5 linked regions of the Sus scrofa genome follow. The main gene of each other region encodes a partner of the protein of the gene in region 3 in a complex. Links are inferred from orthologs where the notes say so. Each region holds a gene or a part of one and is shown on either strand. Other genes may lie near its edges.

Region 1 (4,011 bases), on a different chromosome or scaffold from region 3:
CCAGTTTTACGAGGAGCAACTGAGCTCAAGGAACCCAGGTTTCTGCATCTCTGAACCTGAGCTCCTCACCACCCAGTGGTTTCCGCACCTCGGATAGGAAGACCTCGGGGAACTTCTATTCTCAGGGTCCCCACATGATCTCGGGTTGGTTAGACTCGCCGTTAGCCGAGTGGGTGGAGAGCGATGCGGAACGAACAGCCAGACCTCCGGAGCCTCCGGCTCTCTTACGTAAAAGCCAGCCTCTCTCCGCTTGGCTCCCCGCAGTGCCTTTTGGGAGTTGTAGTCGGACGCGCTTCAGCTGGCTCCCGGGCTGGGAAGGACAAGACTCCAATTCCCAGCATGCCCTGTGGCGAGCGAGTGCAGCGCCGGTTCTTCTCCTCCCTACCTCTCCACTCCTCTTCTGAATCCTCCACTCTGGACTTGCGTGGGTGAAATCCTTCGTCCCCCTCCCCATATTTTTCGCTCACTTTCCGCCATTCTTTCCCCTATTCCTGAGAGCTAATGCGAGACACTGGCTCCGATTAAGCGACGGCTTAAGACTCGGAGTGCACGAGGAGGGGGTCGACACTGAGTGGTAAGGGGGCTGGGAGAGAAGGGGTGGCGGGAGGTATAAGAAGGAGAGAGTTGATGAGAGACGAGCATTGGGAAGAAAGTAGGGGACGAGTTAGGAGGAGATCATACGGTGTGAGTCAGGGTGAATGGAGTGAAGTAGTCTTAGGGACGGGAAGAGGAAAGAGGTGGAATTAGATTTATGAGACTTGGAGGGGAAAGGTAATTATTGCCGTTCCCAGCACGAGGAGTGGGGTCAAGAAATAGATGGAGAGAATGGGCAGATTGAAGTTTATAGGCTGATCAGACCAGGAGAGGTCGAGGGGAGAGAGAACTGGGCTCAGAAAACTTTCTTTGCCTAGGGTGTAGATAAGTCACTGAAATACAAAATATTTTTGCAAATATGGAACAGCTGACAATTCTTTCACTTAGAAATTGGAGAAGACTTGAGTTGAGATCAGGAGTGCAGTGAGGAGGGAGGAAAGAAGAGGAGGGTGGTCAGGTTTGGGAGAAACAAGAGGAGATGAGTGACGTGAAAAAGGAAACTGTAGAAAAGATGAATTTTTGCAGGGGCCAGTGGATCTGGAATTGGAATGAGAACGGTGAGGGGGTGACACTGGCATGGATTTCGGAGGTCCACTAACACTTGCATCTCTCAGGTGATGGAGAGCACCCCTTCAAGGGGTGGACTGAATCGAGTACACCTACAATGCAGGAATCTGCAGGAATTCTTAGGGGGCCTGAGCCCTGTTGTATTGGACCGATTGTATGGGCACCCTGCCACCTGTTTGGCTGTCTTCAGGTGAGGACCCCGTTCATGGCAGGGACCATAGTAGGGAAATGTAATGAGGCCTGCAGACTGCAATAAGTTATCATGGGTAGAAGCTTAGCTCTGGGGGGCTTGGAGACTAAAATGTGTCAGGCCCAAACAGATGGAGATGTGGGGGCAGGAAGACTGGTAAAAGGGCCAGGGGTGAGATGAGATGTTTGAGAGGCATTTGAGGGCAGGGATGCAGATCTGAGGCAGTTTCTGATATTAACGTTTTCCCTCTGCCCCCTTATAGGGAGCTCCCATCTTTAGCTAAGAACTGGGTGATGCGGATGCTCTTTCTGGAGCAGCCTCTGCCACAAGCTGCCGTAGCCTTGTGGGTGAAGAAGGAATTCAGCAAGTGAGTCTCTGCTGCACTTTCAGCCAGATACAAATTTCTCAACAGCCAGGTTTCCCAAACTGCTGGAGTATATTCAAGGGAACACCACTAAACTTGTAATTAAACAAGTTTGGGAAACTACGCATACTCCATTTTGCCTCTTGGAGAGTTGTGATGTCTATAACAAGGTTCTGGTAGGTGCTGCAGTAAAGAAATTTGCCTTAAGAAGATACCAATTTCACTCTGTGAAACAGTGTTCCAAGGACCACCAGTTCAGAAAAGGCAGAAATGGTGGTCTTTATGGGCTTCCTTCCTTTTGTTCTCTGGACACTCCCCTCACCTCTCCTCTTCTGTTCCAGAGCCCAGGAGGAAAGCACGGGGCTGCTGAGCGGCCTCCGTATCTGGCACACCCAGCTGCTCCCTGGTGGCCTCCAGGGCCTCATCCTCAACCCCATCTTCCGCCAAAACCTCCGCATTGCCCTTCTGGGTGGGTATGTCACTTCCATCTTTTCCTAGGCCAGGCAGGGGAACTAGTGATTAAACTGCTCATTAAACTACTTATTAAGAGGCCCTGGGGGACCTCTCTGGAACCTTGTGGGCTCCACCTTTGGGAGCTCCTTTAGGAATAAGTTGGACCAGACTTTGCTACGTGGTATAGGATATGTCTCCCACTCGTGGCCCCTGGAGATGAGGGTAGAAAGAGGGAAGGGGGGTGGTGGGCAGGGAACACAGGCAGGGTTCCTTACTCTCGGCCGTACTGGCATAGGGGCAAGGCCTGGTCTGATGACACAAGTCAGCTGGGACCAGACAAGCATGCCCGGGATGTGCCCTCGCTTGACAAGTATGCTGAGGAGCGATGGGAGGTAAGGACTTGGGACTCTGTGTGTGTCTGCTTGTGCTCCCATCCCAGGGCCCTTAGAGGCATCTGTCTCTCTGGTCTCTTCTGTTCCTCAGGTGGTCCTGCACTTCATGGTGGGCTCCCCCAGTGCAGCCGTCAGCCAGGACTTGGCTCAGCTCCTCAGCCAGGCTGGGCTCATGAAGAGGTGAGGAAGACAGAGGTACAACAGCTCTGTTTTGCCGTCTCCTCGAGTCCCTGCTAACCTGAGTGTTTGGGTCGGATCAGGATTGGAGGGGGTTGGCTGCAAAAGGAGAGCTGCGTAGAGCATGGCCAGAGATAAACCAAGAAAAATGTGAGCGGACAAGTGGAATGGTGGCCTTTCTCAGCAAACCTCTGCCATGGTCCCTTTCTGTAGTGCTGAACCTGGAGAGCCGCCTTGCATTACCTCTGCGGGCTTCCAATTCCTGTTGTTGGACACCCCGGCCCAGCTCTGGTACTTTATGTTGCAGTACCTGCAGACAGCCCAGGTGAGGAGGTCGGGGGCTGCCTGCTGGCATGCTCTGCTTTTCCCAGGACCCACTGAGGGCCTGCTGCCTGTAGACTCTGTTCCCCGGTTTTCTCTCATTTCCTCCCCACATCTGCCCGTTCCTCCTTAGAGTCGGGGCATGGACCTAGTGGAGATTCTCTCCTTCCTCTTCCAGCTCAGCTTCTCTACTCTGGGCAAGGTAAGCAGGGGGCTGGAGCTAGTAGAGGCTTGGGTGGGCAAGATGAAGGGTAGAGAGATGGAAAAGGAAATGAGGTTAGGGGTCAATAGAGTGAAAGAGAAGAATGAACAAAGAGGAGTTCCCGTCGTGGCTCAGCGGTTAACAACCCAATTAGCATCCATGAGGACGCAGGTTCAATCCCTGACCTCGCTCAGTGGGTTAAGGATCCCGTGTTGCTGTGAGCTGTGGTGTAGGTTGCAGACGCGGCTCGGATGCCGCGTTGCTGTGGCTATGGTGTAGGCCAGCAGCTGCAGCTCTGATTGGACCCCTAGCCTGGGAACCTACATATGCCACCCGTGCGACCCTAGAAAGACAAAAAGACAAAAGCAAAAAACAAAAAAACGAAGAACACCAGGGATGGGAAAAGTGGGAAGGAGCATATGGGGTTGGGGAAGGGAGAATGGGCTGGGTTTTGGACCCCAGCCGGCTACCTCTCTTCCCCAGGATTACTCTGTGGAAGGTATGAGTGATTCTCTGTTGAACTTCCTGCAACATCTCCGTGAGTTGGGCCTTGTTTTCCAGAGGAAGGTATGAGCGCCCAGATACATGGCTTTTAGGGAAGAGGCAGGGTGGTATGTTGCCTTGGCCTTTCAAAAGGAACAGGGGTCTCCGAAGGCAGAAGCAGGGGACAGTTGCCAGGACAGAATACTGGGGTCCCTCGGGGGAGGGGGAGAGATGTTGGGAGCTGAAGTTCTGTGCATTGGGAGGGATC
Region 2 (3,078 bases), on a different chromosome or scaffold from region 3:
TCCCAGGAGGAGGGCCCCGTGCAGGGTCCAGGGCGCGGCAGGGACCCCTGATGGGCTTCCATCCCTCGCAGGAGTCTGAGGAGGACGATGAAGAGGATGAGGAGGACGAGGACGAGGACGAGGAGGAGGAAGATGACGAGAACGGGGACTCCTCCGAGGATGGCGGCGACTCCTCCGAGTCCAGCAGCGAGGACGAGAGCGAGGACGGGGATGAGGTGGGGCGGGCGGGCAGGCGGGCGGGCGGGAGGGCGGGACGGGGTCCCGCCAGCACGGCCCCCTGGTGACTGCACTTCCCTTGCCTCCCAGAACGAGGATGAGGATGAGGACGAGGACGACGACGAGGATGACGACGAGGACGAGGACAACGAATCCGAGGGCAGCAGCTCCAGCTCGTCCTCCTCGGGGGACTCCTCGGACTCTGACTCCAACTGAGGCTCAGCCCCACGCGGGGCGCCCCTCCTCGACTGACCACCTTTGTTTCTCTCCCATGTTCTGTCCCCTGCCCCCTGGCCTCCCCCACTTTCTTTCTTTCTTTTTCTTTTTTCTTTTTTTTTAAAAAAAAAAACAAAATACAGTGGGGAGAGGCACTGGAGGCGCCCAGGCTAGAACTCTGCGGCCTTAGAGCCATCAGCCCTGGAGGGCCCTCCAGGGAGCGCAACCACCAGACTGAGCCACCACTGGACCGGCCCAGCCCACCCCTCTTTTGCACTCGCAGTTCCGGCATGGACAATGGACCTGGGAGTGGGATCGGGGGTGGGTCCCAAAGAGTTCTCTGAGGCCCTCTACACCTGCAGCCCAACCCCTGGGAGGGTGGAAGCTTGGGGAAGGCCCCTTTGTTTCCAGAGGGGCTGCAGCCTGGACCCCTACATTGGAACTGGAGGCAGGGGACATGGGAGAGGAGGGCGGGTGCCTATGGGGAAATAGGCACGGCCCCCCAGCCCTCTCCCCTGCCCCCTGCAGGAAGGAGCTGCCTGGACCCACTCACGAGGGGAGGGGGCAGAAGTGTTTTTTATATATGTGTATATATTTTTTTTTTTAAGCTCTGAGCTGTCAACGAGACGTTTCCTACCGATCTCGGCTGCCGTCTCTGTTGTCATTTCTGGGAGAGGGAGGGGGTAGGGGTTAGGTTTGGGACTTTTTTAAAACGGTCTTGATGCGTGTGGAAAAATGCGTGTGTGTGCGTGTGTGTGTGCGTGGCCTGTACATAGCATGGGTGCACCTGTGGATGTGTGCAAAGGCACATGTGTATTTGTGTGTGTAAGAGAGGAGGAGGAGCCCACCTCAAGTCTGTGAATCTGGTGAAAGTGTTGGTGCGGGCCGGGGTGACATTGATCCTGATGGGGACAGGCTGGGTGGCCCCTTTCTCCATATCTTCTGCTTTGCCGAATCTCGGATTCAGTTTTGCGGGGTGACCGAAGCTCCTCTGATGCTTCTCATACTGGTTTCCCTCTGAGCTACTGCTGGTCTCCAATATCCAGCAGGATGGCGGAGAGGGGAACAGACCAGGTAGAACCTTAAAGCTTTGATTTGGTGGGAAAGGCCTCTGCAGCTCATCTGAGAGGCCTCCCGGCCACCCTGGGCTCCGAGAAATGTGTTGGAAGCTTGTAACTTACACGTCGCTCCTGCCTTTCCGCCACATCCTCCAGCTCCCCCACCCCCATTTCCTTTGATTTCTCAGGTCTGCCCACCTCCCCAAACCCACGGCTGGGGAAGAGGTCTGCACAAGCTGTTTTTGCAGCTGTCCTAACCCTTCCCAGCCATCCCCCCAATTTTGGTACCCCGATTCCTAAACTCTTAATAAGCCAAGCCACCTTGTCTCTGGGTTTAAATTTGGGGGGGTTGTTTTTATTAAATTTTGACTTTTTTTTTTTTAAACAATCACATCGTTGACCTATCTAATCGGGGCTTTGTGCTTTTCCACCTTCCCCTCTGAATGAAAGCCAAGGGATGGGGAAGAGTGGGAGCTCCGCCCAGGAGGCGGGCTGGGAAAGGTGGGTCCTGCTCCCAAAGGCAGGCGGTCCGCTTTGCCTTGGACTTGGTGCTGGGAGTGGGGGGAGCTAGGGAGGGACACTTCCCACTCCCACTCCCCTTCCTTTGTCCTGATCCTGGAATTAGGTACAAGGGTTCATAGGTTCTATTTCTTCCGGAGAGCCCCTGCAGAGAACCCTGTTTCCCTGTTTGAATGCTCCTGCGCTGTTGTGTTTTAGTGAAACATGTCTTCACTTAAAACCAACTTCGAGCGGGGCACTGTTTCTTTCCCCCCGTTTTGAAAGTTGAAAAATTCTTACAGTACAAACAGGGCTGTGGGGGGTTAGGGTGTTGGTGCTGTGAGAGGTCACTCTGAGTGCATTTTGGCACTGGGATGGGATGGCTGGGGTGGGAGGACCCCGCTCCCCCCCCTTTTTTCTAATATTTAAGGAGTGTTTTTGTAGGTTTCAACAACAACCACAACTTGAATTTGTAACATGGGAGGTGGGAGGGAATGGCTTAGAGGTGTCCGCCTAAGCTTAAGGCCAACTGTGGAAGTTTTGTTTTCCCTTTTTTTGTACAATAAAGTAAAAAAACAAAGGTTTGAGTGCTGTCTGATCACTGGACTCCATGAAGGGGGAGTGGTGGCAGAGGTGACCGAACAGGCTCAATGTGGAAAGCCCCTTGAAGCCAGCTTCTTGGCCTCTTCTTTCTAGAACCATCTTCCTCTCTCCTGAAGATGCCATAGGCAACCTACCTTCGCACTGTTTTGTGCTACTGGGGGTTTTTTTGTTTGTTTTGTTTTGCTTTGTCTTTTTGCCTTTTCTTGAGCCCCTCTTGCAGCATATGGAGGTTCCCAGGCTAGGGGTTGAATCGGAGCTGTAGCCACCAGCCTACACCAGAGCCACAGCAACTCGGAATCCTAGCTGCATCTGTGACTCACACCACAGCTCACGGCACCGCCGGATCCTTAACCCACTGAGCAAGGGCAGGGACCGAACCCGCAACCTCATGGTTCCAAGTCAGATTCATTAACCACTGCGCCACGACGGGAACTCCTTGTGCTACTGTTTTTGCACTTTCTCGATTCAGTTGGTTCACGTTGGGTTG
Region 3 (4,294 bases):
CTCAGTAGAAGTTTCATCTCCCTCAATCCTGTACACTTTCCCATACATTACATACTCAAATTGGTCAGCCCTGTGGAACAATAGTGGCAGTTATTGTTATACACAGTCAACAATAATAAGAGACCCTTTAAAAATGGTAACTGATAACTAAGTGCCAACATCATAACAACAGGCACTTTCCAAACATCACATCATTTAGTCCCGACAGCAACCCTGTGAGCGAGGTATAACTGTAGGTATTTCACTGATGAAGAAACTAAGGTTGAAGGAAGTCAAATGTTATTCAACAAATAAGTGATAGAGATGAGATGTGAACTGAGTGGGGCTCTAAAGCCTTTCCTCACACAAAATTCCCTCCTGAGACACAAGACTTACACAGCCTACGTCATTCAGTGGTCATTTCCTCAGCCATCAAAAAGCTACAACTCGAGGTTTCCTGGTGGCCTAATGATTAAGGATCTGGAAATGTCACTGCTGTGGCAGAGGTTCGATCCCTGGCCCCAGGACCTTCTGCATGCTGTGGGCATGCCCCCCTTCCCCCAAAAAGCTGCAACTCATGCTGTAATCACTGCTCTGGATAAACACCTGGATGTCTGAACTCTCCCTTTTATTTATTTTTTTGGGGGGGCCACACCCACAGCACAAGGAAGTTCCCAGGCCAGGGATCAAACCCAGGCCACAGCAGCAACCCGAGCCACAGCAGATCCTTAACCTGCTGAGCTCCCAGAGAACTCATTGTTTGTATCCTTCGTTGTTGTCTTTTTTTTTTTTTAAGGGCCGCACTCAAGGCATATAGAAGTTCCAAGGCTAGGGGTAGAATCGGAGTTGCAGCTACACGTCTACACCACAGCCACAGCAACACCAGATCTAAGCTATGTCTGCAACCTACACCACAGCTCACAGCAACGCCGGATCCTTAACCCACTGAGCAGGGCCAGGGATGGAAGCTGCATCCTCATGGATGCTAGTTAGGTTCATTACCACTGAGGCACAACAGGAACTCCTGTTTGAATTAAGTGCGGCAATTTCCTTAAGTTTACATAGATTCTGTTCATAAACATTTATTCTATGAAGTAACTAAGGGTCTTTCTGTACTACTTATCTATTTAGTCCTCAGGCATATTTCAAGTACTTCCTCACCTGGAAGGCCTATCATCTGTGGGGTTGTATTCACCATCATCCAGAGTACCATCTTCATACAAAGTACTGGCTATCACCAACCGGAACTTGTCACCTGAAAATAACAGCAATATCAGAGTCTGAAATGCAAAAACACTTGCTGTTATTGTTTGTGTTCAACACTTACCCAGGTCAACAGGATAAATCTGAATGTTTACATCTAAGATGAGGTCCATCTTGAAAGATTCACTCTCACAATGCAGTCGAGACACTGGAGGGAAACAGAAAAAGAGCAGCAGAGGTAACTGCCTGGCCAAGTAGACCCTCAAGGGCAGGGCAGACCCCACTTTGAGAAACTGTATGCACAGAATACTTAATCTGTATCCAATGGCCTCTCATCTGCTCTCATAGAAGTACAGGCTCAATAAGAACCACATATACAAGCAAAGAGGCAGAAAACTATGGCTGGTGGACAGAATGCCCAGAAAAGAATCAAAGGTCCTCTGGCAACAAATAATATCACGTTCTAGGCCTGCATGGGTGACTAAGAAACAACCTGCTCTGGGGCAAGTCAGTCATCCAAAGGTTTTGCCTTTCCGTGCCAGGCGCTGTGCTAAGGAGATTATTAAGAACTGCTGTTTGGGGAGGTCTTGTCCGTGGCTCAGTGGTAACAAACCTGATTAGTATCCATGAGGATGGGGGTTCAATCCCTGGCCTCACTCTGTGGGTTAAGGATCAGCTCAGGGGATTAAGGATCTGGTGTTGCTGTGAGCTGTGGTATAAGTCTCAGACGGGGCTTGGATCTGGCGTTGCTGTGGCTGTGGTGTGGGGCCTGCAGCTGTAGCTCTGACTCGACCCTTAGCCTGAGAACCTCCATATGTCCTTACGTCTGGCCCTAAAAAGACAAAATCAAACAAACAAACAAACACCTGCTGTTTGTTCTGAAGAATATCTCAGTCTCTAAGCAAAGGAAGAGACACCAAGGACAAATAATTCTTGATCAACGTCAGAACAAGGAGGTGTATACCAAGCAGTCAACTCTTAGAGAGGATTTCACAAAGAGCTAAGACTCTGAGGGCAACAGGCCCTGAGGTCGGATTATTTGCTGTACAGCCTTGGGTGGGTTGCTCAGCCTCTCAGAAGATGGGTAAGACACCACCTACCTCGTGGAGACTCTCGAAAGGAATAAGTAAGGCAATGTGTGTAAAGTGCACAGCACAGCGCCTAGCAGAGTGGGCAGCGATTAAAAAGATGCCAAGGAGGTTACCAGCACCATGAAGAAAGGTCACCCAGGCACCGGGCACAGCATGTGTGAAGCGAGGGAGAGCTCGAAGTCTCCGTTTTCTCATCTATAAAACGTTTCCTGAGAGAGGCCCCTAGGTCAGGACCTGCCGGTAGGGGAAGACCACATGAAATGTGTGGACAAGAGGCCCAGGGGCGTGTCCCTGAGATCAGCCGCTTCTCCCAAACCGCCCCTACAAACCTTACTCACCTCGGTCAAACTTCTTGCCCTCTGGGTCAATGTCTTTCACATCAAAAATATCCTCGAACAGAATGCCCGCCATGGTGAGGGGGCCACGAGAGAAGCAGAGGTGCTGAGCGCGTGACGAAGACTACGGAGCAGGGCACGGCCCCGCGTGGAGAAAAATGAGAGAGGAAAATGCAGCGCCTGAAGAGCGGCAGCAAAGAAATAGAAGGACGCATGCGCACAGACCAGCAGTAACGCAGCTACTTCCGCCGCCTAGCTCTCGGGGCTTCTTAACTTCCGCCCCGAACGATTGCTTCCGAGAGGCTTCAGTGTTTAGGGCGGTCTCACGTCCAGATAACTCCTCCCAGGGCGGGAACACGATAGGTCCCACCTCCAGCCGGGGGTGGCTTGGTGTCCCGCTCTCTCCGGAGGCTCTAGTGCGCCCTCTTCAGATGCCGGGTTAGGAAGACTGGAGTGCTTGGGGGCCTACCCCAGCCAGGGACCTTGATCCTTGGCCCAGAGAATCCTGGCCCTAGCCCTACCCTGTCGGTCCGCGGGTCTGCCGAGGGCACAGTCCGCGCAAAGGGCTAGCGGAGCAGAACCACGCCCCCAGGGCGATGGCCAAGTAGGGTGCCGTACCCAGTCCTTCTAGCTGGCACTGAGGAATCCCGGGCTGGCCCAGGCCGGCTGGGCCCAGCTGGATGTCACCCGACCCGGTGATATCCACTTTGGGAATTTGCCATGATGTCACCATGGGGAAGAGGGAAGTCTGCACTGTCTCCTCCTCTGGTACTGCACCCTCCCCACCCCTGATTTCTTACCTCGCACCGCCCCTTCAGCATGGTATTAACCCCATCACACTGCTCTCCTCAGTACTGCCCCTTCGGCTCGGTTCTGGCCTTTCCTCCACCACTGCGCTCACCTTCTGGACACGTTCTCCTAAGTGCTCCTTCATCCCGGCATTGTCCTCTCCTATGGATACCACCTCTTCCTTTACACTGCCCGTTCCTCTAGGGTGCTGGTTCTCACACTGTCCCCTTCCTGGGCACTCCCTCCTGGGAACCCCCTCTGCCTCCCACCTGCCCCTTCACCCTGGTACTGCCTCCTCCTGCACAATGCCTGTTTTCCTGGGCACTGGCCTGTCCCCTGACTCTATCTCTGACTGTGTTCACCCCACACTTGTTCACCCCACCCTTTGCACTTTTCTTCTCCGGAGCCTGATAGAGAACGCAGAGCCCCAGCAGGCTGTTCCCCCTTGGCAGCTAGACGTCAGCAGCTACTCGGGTTTCTTCTTCAGCCCTGCCAAGGAGAAGCGACCTCTGTCCCCCCACGCCCGCCTCCCAGGAGCGGCCTCCCCAGCACCTAGACCTCCCTTCCCTCCGGCTCCACCCACGCACAAGCCTCAGGCCAGCTAGCTCCAGGTGCACCTCCCCGGGACAGTCGCAAAGAAAGGAAGGGGGATGAGAGAAACCGAAGTTTCCAGTTCCAAGCACCCCTCTTCTGGGCCTAGCGTCCCCCTCCGAGTCTCCCCAGTTCTGTTTCTCACCCCCCACGGAGCAGAGGGGCCTTGCCAGGCCGGTCTGAGCCGTTGGCTCCTTCAGCAAAGCAAGTGAGGGCACCGCTCTCTCGAGAGAGATTGGGCCCGAAAGTCGGCTTTAGACGGTTCAGCAGCCTGCAGCCCCAGGTCCTACTGAGCGCCGACCTCGG
Region 4 (3,512 bases), on a different chromosome or scaffold from region 3:
GTTCCCAGGCTAGGGGTCTAATCAGAGCTACAGCTGCCAGCCCATGCCACAGCCACACAACACCAGATCCAAGCCACATCTGTGACCTACACCACAGCTCATGGCAACGCCATATCCTTAACCCGCTGAGCAGAGGTCAGGGGTCAAACTGGAGTTCTCATGGATGCTAGTCAGGTTTGTTAACTGCTGAGCCACAATGGGAACTCCCAGGTCTCATCTTCTTTTTTAATTTTTTTATTTGTTTATTTTTTGGTCTTTTTAGGGCTGCACCCTCGGCATAAGGAGGTTCCCAGGCTAGGGGTCTAATCAGAGCTGTAGCCGAAGGCTTACGCCACAGCCACAGCAATGCCAGATCCAAGCCGAGTCTGTGACCTACACCACAGCTCACGGCAACTCGGGATCCCCAACCAACTGATCGAGGCCAGGGATCGAACCCGCAACCTCACGGTTCCTAGTCAGATTCATTTCTGCTGTGCCATGATGGGGACTCCTCATCTTTTTTTAAATTCTTAAGATATTCTGGCTATCAGAATCCTAAGATTTTTAACTCACTTATACGAGAAAGTTCTGGTATCTCAGTTATACTACTAAACAGATAATGAATACTTTTTTTTTTCAGTCTTTTTGCCTTTTCTAGGGCTGCACCCTCGGCATATGGAGGTTCCCAGGCCAGGGGTCCAATCGGAGCTGTAGCCACAGGCCTACACCACAGCTCACAGCAACTCTGGATCCTTAACCCACTGAGCAAGGCCAGGGATCAAACCCGCAACCTCATGGTTCCTAGTTGGATTCGTTAACCACTGAGCCACGATGGGAACTCCATGAATACGGTTATTGTGGTTATTTTTAAAATGTCTTGAGATAATATACATTAACAACAAAAGGTGTTCCCCAGCATTAAATAATTCAATGGATCTAAAAACTAGCTGAACATGAAAACTAACCCTATAGATTCAGGGCTTTGGAACCCTTGGATTTGTGACCGGGCTATTTCTAAAGCTCTACAAGTGATTCTGAGATTTAGCCGGCACTCGAAACCAGCGATAATCTGCACCCATGGGAACCCTTCTGCAGTGCCTCTCAGACTGCACACGTTCAACTTAACCAGAAACAGAAATAGGGATTAAATTACAGTTGGTTTTTGACTCATTATGCAAATCATAGGGGAAAAAACAGACCAATTAAGTTTTTTTTTAAAACAAAGGATGCAACCTCCATCTTTTCCCAAATAGCTCTTTTCAGAAGCTGCTAACACACGCTTTGAGGCAGAGTGAGGTGAACCTTCCTGCCCAGGACCAACACCCTTCCAGACTATTCGAGGAAGCTACGAAAGAGTTGCAAAAAGAGGCCTCTATTTTTTTGGTTTTGCTTTGTTCTCAAAATAGAAAACCAATGCCTAAAGTTTTAAAATTCTAGATTAAAAAAAATTTAGTTTGGGCTACTTAAGAGCAACTGAAAGAAAATAAAACAGTTAAATATCCAATATGAGATTTTAATTAAGGCTTGAATTGAAAGGAAGAGCACCGCCTAGCGGACCAAACACGGGATGACACTTTCCGAGCACTCAGATGAACTGCACTCAGATGAAGCCCTCTGCTTCTTCCTTATATTGAAAAGGGCTTCCTATTTTTTATTTATTTATTTATTTTTTTTTTTTAATGGCCAGAAGTATGGCATATGGAAGTTCTGGGGCTAGGAGTTGAATTGGGGCTTACAATGGCTGCTGGCCTACACCACAGCTCACAGCAATGCAGATCCTTAACCCACTGAGTGCGGCCAGGGATCAAACCCACATCCTCATGGATACTAGCCGGGTTCTACTGAGCCGCAATGGGAACTCCCCAAAAGGGCTGGCTATTATTAGAGGCACTAAGTAAAATGAGCTGAAGACAACGAAATACTCACCTCGGTCTCCCTTTCCATACCATCCCCTCATCCCTCATTTTTAAATGGAAAATTGTGGGTGAGACTAAAATAAGCTACAATTATGTTAACGACATACTCACCAATTTAAAGCTACAGAGGTAAAACATAAAAAACTGCACGTGGCAGGAGGCATGTGTGGGCAACAGGAGTTTGTCAAAGATGGTTATGAGATCTCGATATAAATCCTTTGTCTTGTTGTTATCAATCTTACCTACAAAGAAAATTTGGCATTTCAGTTCTATAAAGATATAATTTTCAAGCTACCAGTTTCACTTATCAATTTTTAAAAAGAAAATAAAACTACTAAGAAACACGTCATGGAGGTCTGTCATGGCTCAGTGGTTAATGAACTAGACTAGTATCCATGAGGACACAGGTTCAGTCCCTGACCTTGCTCAGTGGGTTAAGGATCCGGCCTCACTGAGACCTGTGATATAAGTTGCAAACAAATGGGCTCTGATCTAGCATTGCTGTAGCCGTGGGATAGGCTGACAGCTACAGCTGCGATCTGACCCCTAGACTGGGAACCTCCACATGCTGCAAGTGTGGCCCTTAAAAAAAAAACAAACAAAAAAAAAGACCAAAAAAATAGAAAAAGAAACACATCCTCAACGGATACCTGTATAACTGATTTACACTGCTGTATACCTGAAACTAACACAACTTTCTAAGTCAACTATACTCCAATAAAATTTTATTTAAAAAAAACAACAACACATCATCCATTGACCTATAGGGGAAAAAAAAGCCATCTTCATCTTGCACAGGTTTTCCTTTTCACGTATAACAACCCAGCAGTGGCAAGAAAGAGGCACTCATCTCACACACACACTCCTGTGATGCCATAAACTGTCAAAGCGCAACTTAGAAGAAGCCCTTTGATCCAGCGACTCAACTGCTGGGAATTCACCACACAGAAATAATCGAAGATATATGCATAAGAACGTTCGTTACACTGTTATTTATAATGGCCAAAAAAAAAAGCATGGGGGTGGTTTTAAAACATCATTGGGCATTCCCTTTGTGGATTAGTGGTTAATGAACCTGACTAGGATCCATGAGGATGCAGGTTCCATCCCTGGCCTCGTTCAGTGGGTTAGGGATCCGGTGTTGCCATAAGCCGTGGTGTAGGTTGCAGAGGCGGCTCAGATCCCACATTGCTGTGGCTGTGGTGTAGGCCAGCAGCTGTAGCTCCAGTTCAACCCCTGGCCTGGGAACCTCCATATGCCACTGGTGCAGCCCTAAAAAGCAAAAATAAATAAATACATAAATAGCAGGGGGAGGAAAAAAAAGGAGAGACCAGTTAAATCTATATGATTAGCAATAACTATTTTAGAATAACAATGAATGGGATGAGAAAAATGTTCACAATAGGTGAAAAGGGCAGATAATAAACCACTTACAGTGTGATTCTGCCGGATCACTGAGAAAAACACTCATATAGCCATGCAAACAGGAAAGTAAAACATAAAAATGCTAATAATAGGGAGTTCCCGTTGTGGCGCAGTGGTTAACGAATCCGACTAGGAACCATGAGGTTGCGGGTTCGGTCCCTGCCCTTGCTCAGTGGGTTAATGATCCGGCGT
Region 5 (4,275 bases), on a different chromosome or scaffold from region 3:
GACCCACAAAAACAGTGGGTTTGAGAATTAACAGACATAGAACATAAATATCATGTTTAATGTTTACATGTAATATGTTTTATGAATAAAAAGAACCACTTAAAATATGATTAAGGAATTGGGAATTATTAAAAATAACTAAGATGATTTGAAAAATAATCAGGATTTCCCTTGTGGTGCAGTGGGTTAAAGTCCAGCACTGTCACTGCAGGGGCTAGGGTTTGATCCCTGGCCCAGGAATATCCACATGTTGCCGGCATGGCCACAAAAAAATCAAACAGAACTAAAAAATCTATCCAGAAACAGCATAAAGAGAAAAGAGATGGAAAATATGGGAGACAGGGTGAGAGAAATGGAGGATAGAAGATAAGGCCTAATAAAGAGCTAATCAGTTAGAACTCTAAGAATATGAGAACTGAGCATATGAGGGAAATATTCAGTGTGATAACAGCTGATAATTTTCCAAGGTTGATGGGGGAAAAAAGGTCAACCCTCACTGTTGGAAGGCCCAACACATCCCAAACAGGATAAATAAAAGAAAGCCACATCTTGATAGATTGTAGTGAAATTGAAGGACACCAAAGACAAAGAGGAATTCTTAAAACTATGTTTTAAAGAACCCATGTTCTGGGAGTTCTCGTCGTGGTGCAGTGGTTAACGAATCCGACTAGAAACCATGAGGTTGTGGGTTCGATCCCTGGCTGCTCGGTGGGTTAAGGATCTGGCATTGCTGTGAGCTGTGGTGTAGGTTGCAGTCTTGGCTCGGATCCCACATTGCTGTGGCTGTGGCGTCGGCCAGCGGCTGCAGCTCTGATTAGACCCTAGCCTGAGAACCTCCATATGCCTCGGGAAGCGGCCCTAGAAAAGGCAAAAAGACAAAAAAAAATAAAGAAATAAAAATAAAGAACCCATGTTTTTTAAATCATCCATGACTGACTCTCACCAAAGTAAAACTACCTTGAGGGCAGTGGAGGAGTCCAACATAACACACTGATCACAAACCAATACTCATTTCCTTTTAACTATTGTAAAAGGTTTAATTCACTGGGTATAAAAAGATAGGAAAAGAGTAATTATTTAAAATTTAAAAAGACCACAGAACTTCCCATCGTGGCACAGCAGCACAAGCAAATCCGACTAGGAACCATGTGGTTCAATCCCTGGCCTCACTCAGTGGGTTAAGGCTCTGGCATTGTTGTGAGCTGCGGTGTAAGTTGTGGACGCAGCTGGGATCCGGTGTTGCTGTGATCTGGCGTTGCTGTTGCTGTGGTGAGGCCAGAGGCTACAGCTCGGATGTGACCCCTAGCCTGGGAATCTCCATATGCCACGGGGTGCAGCCCTAAGAAGGAAGGAAGGAAGGAAGGAGGGAGGGAAGGAAGGAAGGAAAGAAGGAAGGAAGGAAGAAAGAAAGAAAGAGAGAGAGAGAGAGAAAGAAAGAAAGAAAGGAAGGAAGAAAGAAAGAAAGGATGGAAGGAAGGAAGAAAACGATCACAAACCTATTACTTGAACTGTACAGAAATGAAGGATGCGACCAGTCCAAAAAGTACAAAAATTAAACCACTGGATTTAAATTAAATCACGGGATTTTGGCAGCAAAGAGACCCAGAAGGGGCAGAATGGAGGGAAAGGATACGCACTTGCAGTTGGTACAGGTGTAGAAGACAGTCTGCCCTTCATCGGCTGAGCGCATCTGTCTGGTGTGGTATGCCATTCCCTCATGACCACAACGAGGACAGCGCCTGTCAACCTGGGAAGCAACTGGTAGGTTAATAATTCCCACTACTTCTCACAGACATCAAGCTACCACACTCCTCAGATACTGCTGGTTTTTGTTTTGCTGCACCTGCAGTACGTGTAAGTTTCCAGGCCGAGGATCGAACCCGTGCCACAGAAGCGACCTAAACCGCTGTAGTGACAATGCCGGCCAGATCCTTAACACCCGGCTGCACCACAAGAAAACTCTCCCCAGTCACTACTGTTTTAAAGACTCTTCTTCCCTGTTGTGTACAAAACTCTCCAGATCTGAGCCCTCCGTTTCGTTCCCACCCTCTTTACAGGGCCAGTCCTCGACGTGATTCACTTACCACGGGTCCCTGGAACTCAGGTCCTTCCTCCATCGACATAGGCATGGCTGTCCCCACTTTCTGGAACACAACTGAGGTCTTCACAACCTTCCCCTCAAAGTCTGCGCGGGCAGTAAGAATTGGTTGTGGAGACAGCGGAGGGGGCTGACACCACACTAATCCCTCTCTGTTAGGCCAGGAAGCTATATTCTACCCATCAGGTTTCGTGCCGACCAAAAGTATAAGTGCCTGATCCTGCGCTTTCGGGTCCCCGTCTTTAATCCAATCGATCTTGAGATCCCCATGGGCCCTCCTCCGCCCCAGCCGCGGCGTAGCAGCACCTCACCCCGCACGTTGATGGAGAAGCCACAGCGAGTACAAATGACCGCATCCTGAGTCCCGGGCAGAGGCAGGACCGAGCCGCAATCCGGACAGAAATCCAAGTCCGACTGAAAGCTAGAGGATGTGCGGGCGAGGTCCATGACAGACGGGTGGTCGAGGGCTGGGAAGGGGATGAGGAGTTTATTAAGAGAGTAGCCCCTTCCCCAGAGAGGTCATGCCTATTCTGTCCCTGGACGTAAGCATGCAGAACCCGAGATTTCTTCCTACGCATACCTTGTGCCTCTGTGACTAAGGAGCCCAAACTTCCGGAATCCCTATCCCGCGTCGGGTACAACTACGCTGGGGGTCTTTCCTGGGGCAGGCGAGAGGAGCAAGTCAACTTCACGGGCTAGAGCGCCGGCTCCGCGCGGGCAACCGAGCAGCGAGCGCGTGGCGGGCTAGAGAGTCCACGCGTCCCGGCTCTCGATTGGCTGTGACGTCATAATTAATTGCAACTGTGATCCCGAGAGCCTGGAGAGGGAGAGGAGCGGTTCTGAAGGAAGATTGTGGCGCCCCCTTCAGCCTGGTTCTGTTACGTTGGATACGAAAATAGGTGACGAAGCTGCGCCTGCCTCAGGTTATTTTTTCCCTTCAGGACTCAGTCCTGGGATGTTTATTTTATTGGTCTCGAATTTTACCAGGACCCAGTCGCGGGGAGCGTTTCTCCTGAGAAGTCGGACCAACCTTATAGAGTACTAATTTATTTATTTGGACTGGAGAACTGCAAACTCCAGCGGTTCCTGAATCTGCACTTCACTGTGGCGGTTGGACAGTGGTAGAAAACAAAGCGAAATATTCTGGGAGTAATTCTAGCATTCTTTGGGCCTTGCGACCCAAGCAAGGGCTCTCTGCAGGACCCGGTATGGCTCATGTGCTTTGGTGGCTGTTGCCTTGTCTATAGTGTAGATCACAGTTGCAGCTTTGATTCAGACCCTAGCTTGGGAACTTCCATATACCACAGGTGCAGCCTTAAAAAGAAAAAAGAGAGAGATCATGGTATTTGTAGATTAAAAATCATAGTTCCCACTCTTTATATGTTTAAATTTCAGCATCAAAATGTTTTTTGTATTTTGAGTTCATGTTGTGGCACAGCAGAAACAAATCCGACTAGAAACGATGAGGTTGTGGGTTCGATCTCTGGCCTCGCTCAGTGGGTTAACGATCTGGCTTTGCTGTTGCTTGAGCTATGTTTCGTTTTGTTCTTTTGTTTTTCCTTTTGTTTGTTTGTTTGTTTGTTTGTTTTGTTTTGTTTTTTGTTTTTGCTTTTTTTTGCTTTTTAGGGCTGCACTTACAGGATATGAAGGTTCCCAGGCTAGGGGTTGAATCAGAGCTACAGCTGCCCACCTATGGCACAGCCACAGCAACATAGGATCTGAGCCATGTCTGTGACCTACACCACAGCTCAGGGCAAGGCCAGATCCTTAACCCACTAATCGAGGCCAGGGATCAAACCCGCAACCTCATGGTTCTTAGTTGGATTTGTTTCTGCTGCACCACAACAGGAACTCCCATGACTGATTTTCAAATAAATTGTAGAAGTTATATTTTTTACTTCTATTTTTTACTTTGTATTCATCGGAAGGCAAAAATCACTGATACAGGAGTTCCACTCTATGGCAAAATGGGATGGGCAGCGTCTTGGGAACACTGGGACAAATGTTCAATCCCTGGCCTGGCACCATGGATTAAGGACCCAGCTTTGCCTCAGCTGGGGCTTAGGTTGCAACTGTGGCTCAGATCTGTTCTCGGCCCAGGAACTCCATATGCTGCGGGGTGCCAAAAAACAAAAACCCAAAACCTCACTGATACATAGAGTAGACTGGGCAGACTT

Evidence for each region.
Region 1: POLR2H (region 3) and GTF2H4 share a complex: the UniProt entries of both Homo sapiens proteins name them as parts of the TBP-based Pol II pre-initiation complex. The link is inferred for Sus scrofa from reciprocal best matches to the Homo sapiens genes POLR2H and GTF2H4.
Region 2: POLR2H (region 3) and UBTF share a complex: the UniProt entries of both Homo sapiens proteins name them as parts of the pol I pre-initiation complex. The link is inferred for Sus scrofa from reciprocal best matches to the Homo sapiens genes POLR2H and UBTF.
Region 4: POLR2H (region 3) and RRN3 share a complex: the UniProt entries of both Homo sapiens proteins name them as parts of the pol I pre-initiation complex. The link is inferred for Sus scrofa from reciprocal best matches to the Homo sapiens genes POLR2H and RRN3.
Region 5: POLR2H (region 3) and ZNRD1 share a complex: the UniProt entries of both Homo sapiens proteins name them as parts of the pol I pre-initiation complex. The link is inferred for Sus scrofa from reciprocal best matches to the Homo sapiens genes POLR2H and POLR1H.

The regions. Positions count from the first base shown.
Region 1 is NC_010449.5:23,398,094-23,402,104, forward strand, and holds the start of GTF2H4 (general transcription factor IIH subunit 4), read left to right. Parts: upstream 1-1,211; coding exon 1,212-1,351; intron 1,352-1,613; coding exon 1,614-1,718; intron 1,719-2,056; coding exon 2,057-2,188; intron 2,189-2,463; coding exon 2,464-2,560; intron 2,561-2,651; coding exon 2,652-2,740; intron 2,741-2,950; coding exon 2,951-3,062; intron 3,063-3,191; coding exon 3,192-3,260; intron 3,261-3,743; coding exon 3,744-3,827; intron 3,828-4,011. UniProt on the Homo sapiens protein: Component of the general transcription and DNA repair factor IIH (TFIIH) core complex, which is involved in general and transcription-coupled nucleotide excision repair (NER) of damaged DNA and, when complexed to CAK, in RNA transcription by RNA polymerase II.
Region 2 is NC_010454.4:19,003,578-19,006,655, forward strand, and holds the end of UBTF (nucleolar transcription factor 1), read left to right. Parts: intron 1-71; coding exon 72-215; intron 216-306; coding exon 307-432; 3' UTR 433-2,568; downstream 2,569-3,078. UniProt on the Homo sapiens protein: Recognizes the ribosomal RNA gene promoter and activates transcription mediated by RNA polymerase I (Pol I) through cooperative interactions with the transcription factor SL1/TIF-IB complex.
Region 3 is NC_010455.5:122,250,145-122,254,438, reverse strand, and holds the start of POLR2H (DNA-directed RNA polymerases I, II, and III subunit RPABC3), read right to left. Parts: upstream 2,811-4,294; 5' UTR 2,685-2,810; coding exon 2,612-2,684; intron 2,508-2,611; exon of another isoform or gene 2,469-2,507; coding exon of another isoform or gene 2,387-2,468; intron 1,391-2,386; coding exon 1,307-1,390; intron 1,235-1,306; coding exon 1,141-1,234; intron 71-1,140; coding exon 1-70. UniProt on the Homo sapiens protein: DNA-dependent RNA polymerase catalyzes the transcription of DNA into RNA using the four ribonucleoside triphosphates as substrates.
Region 4 is NC_010445.4:7,547,988-7,551,499, forward strand, and holds part of RRN3 (RNA polymerase I-specific transcription initiation factor RRN3), read right to left. Parts: intron 2,138-3,512; coding exon 2,007-2,137; intron 1-2,006. UniProt on the Homo sapiens protein: Required for efficient transcription initiation by RNA polymerase I (Pol I). Required for the formation of the competent pre-initiation complex (PIC).
Region 5 is NC_010449.5:22,625,407-22,629,681, reverse strand, and holds the start of ZNRD1 (DNA-directed RNA polymerase I subunit RPA12), read right to left. Parts: upstream 2,812-4,275; 5' UTR 2,679-2,811; intron 2,566-2,678; 5' UTR 2,546-2,565; coding exon 2,410-2,545; intron 2,186-2,409; coding exon 2,085-2,185; intron 1,748-2,084; coding exon 1,638-1,747; intron 1-1,637. UniProt on the Homo sapiens protein: Core component of RNA polymerase I (Pol I), a DNA-dependent RNA polymerase which synthesizes ribosomal RNA precursors using the four ribonucleoside triphosphates as substrates. Can mediate Pol I proofreading of the nascent RNA transcript.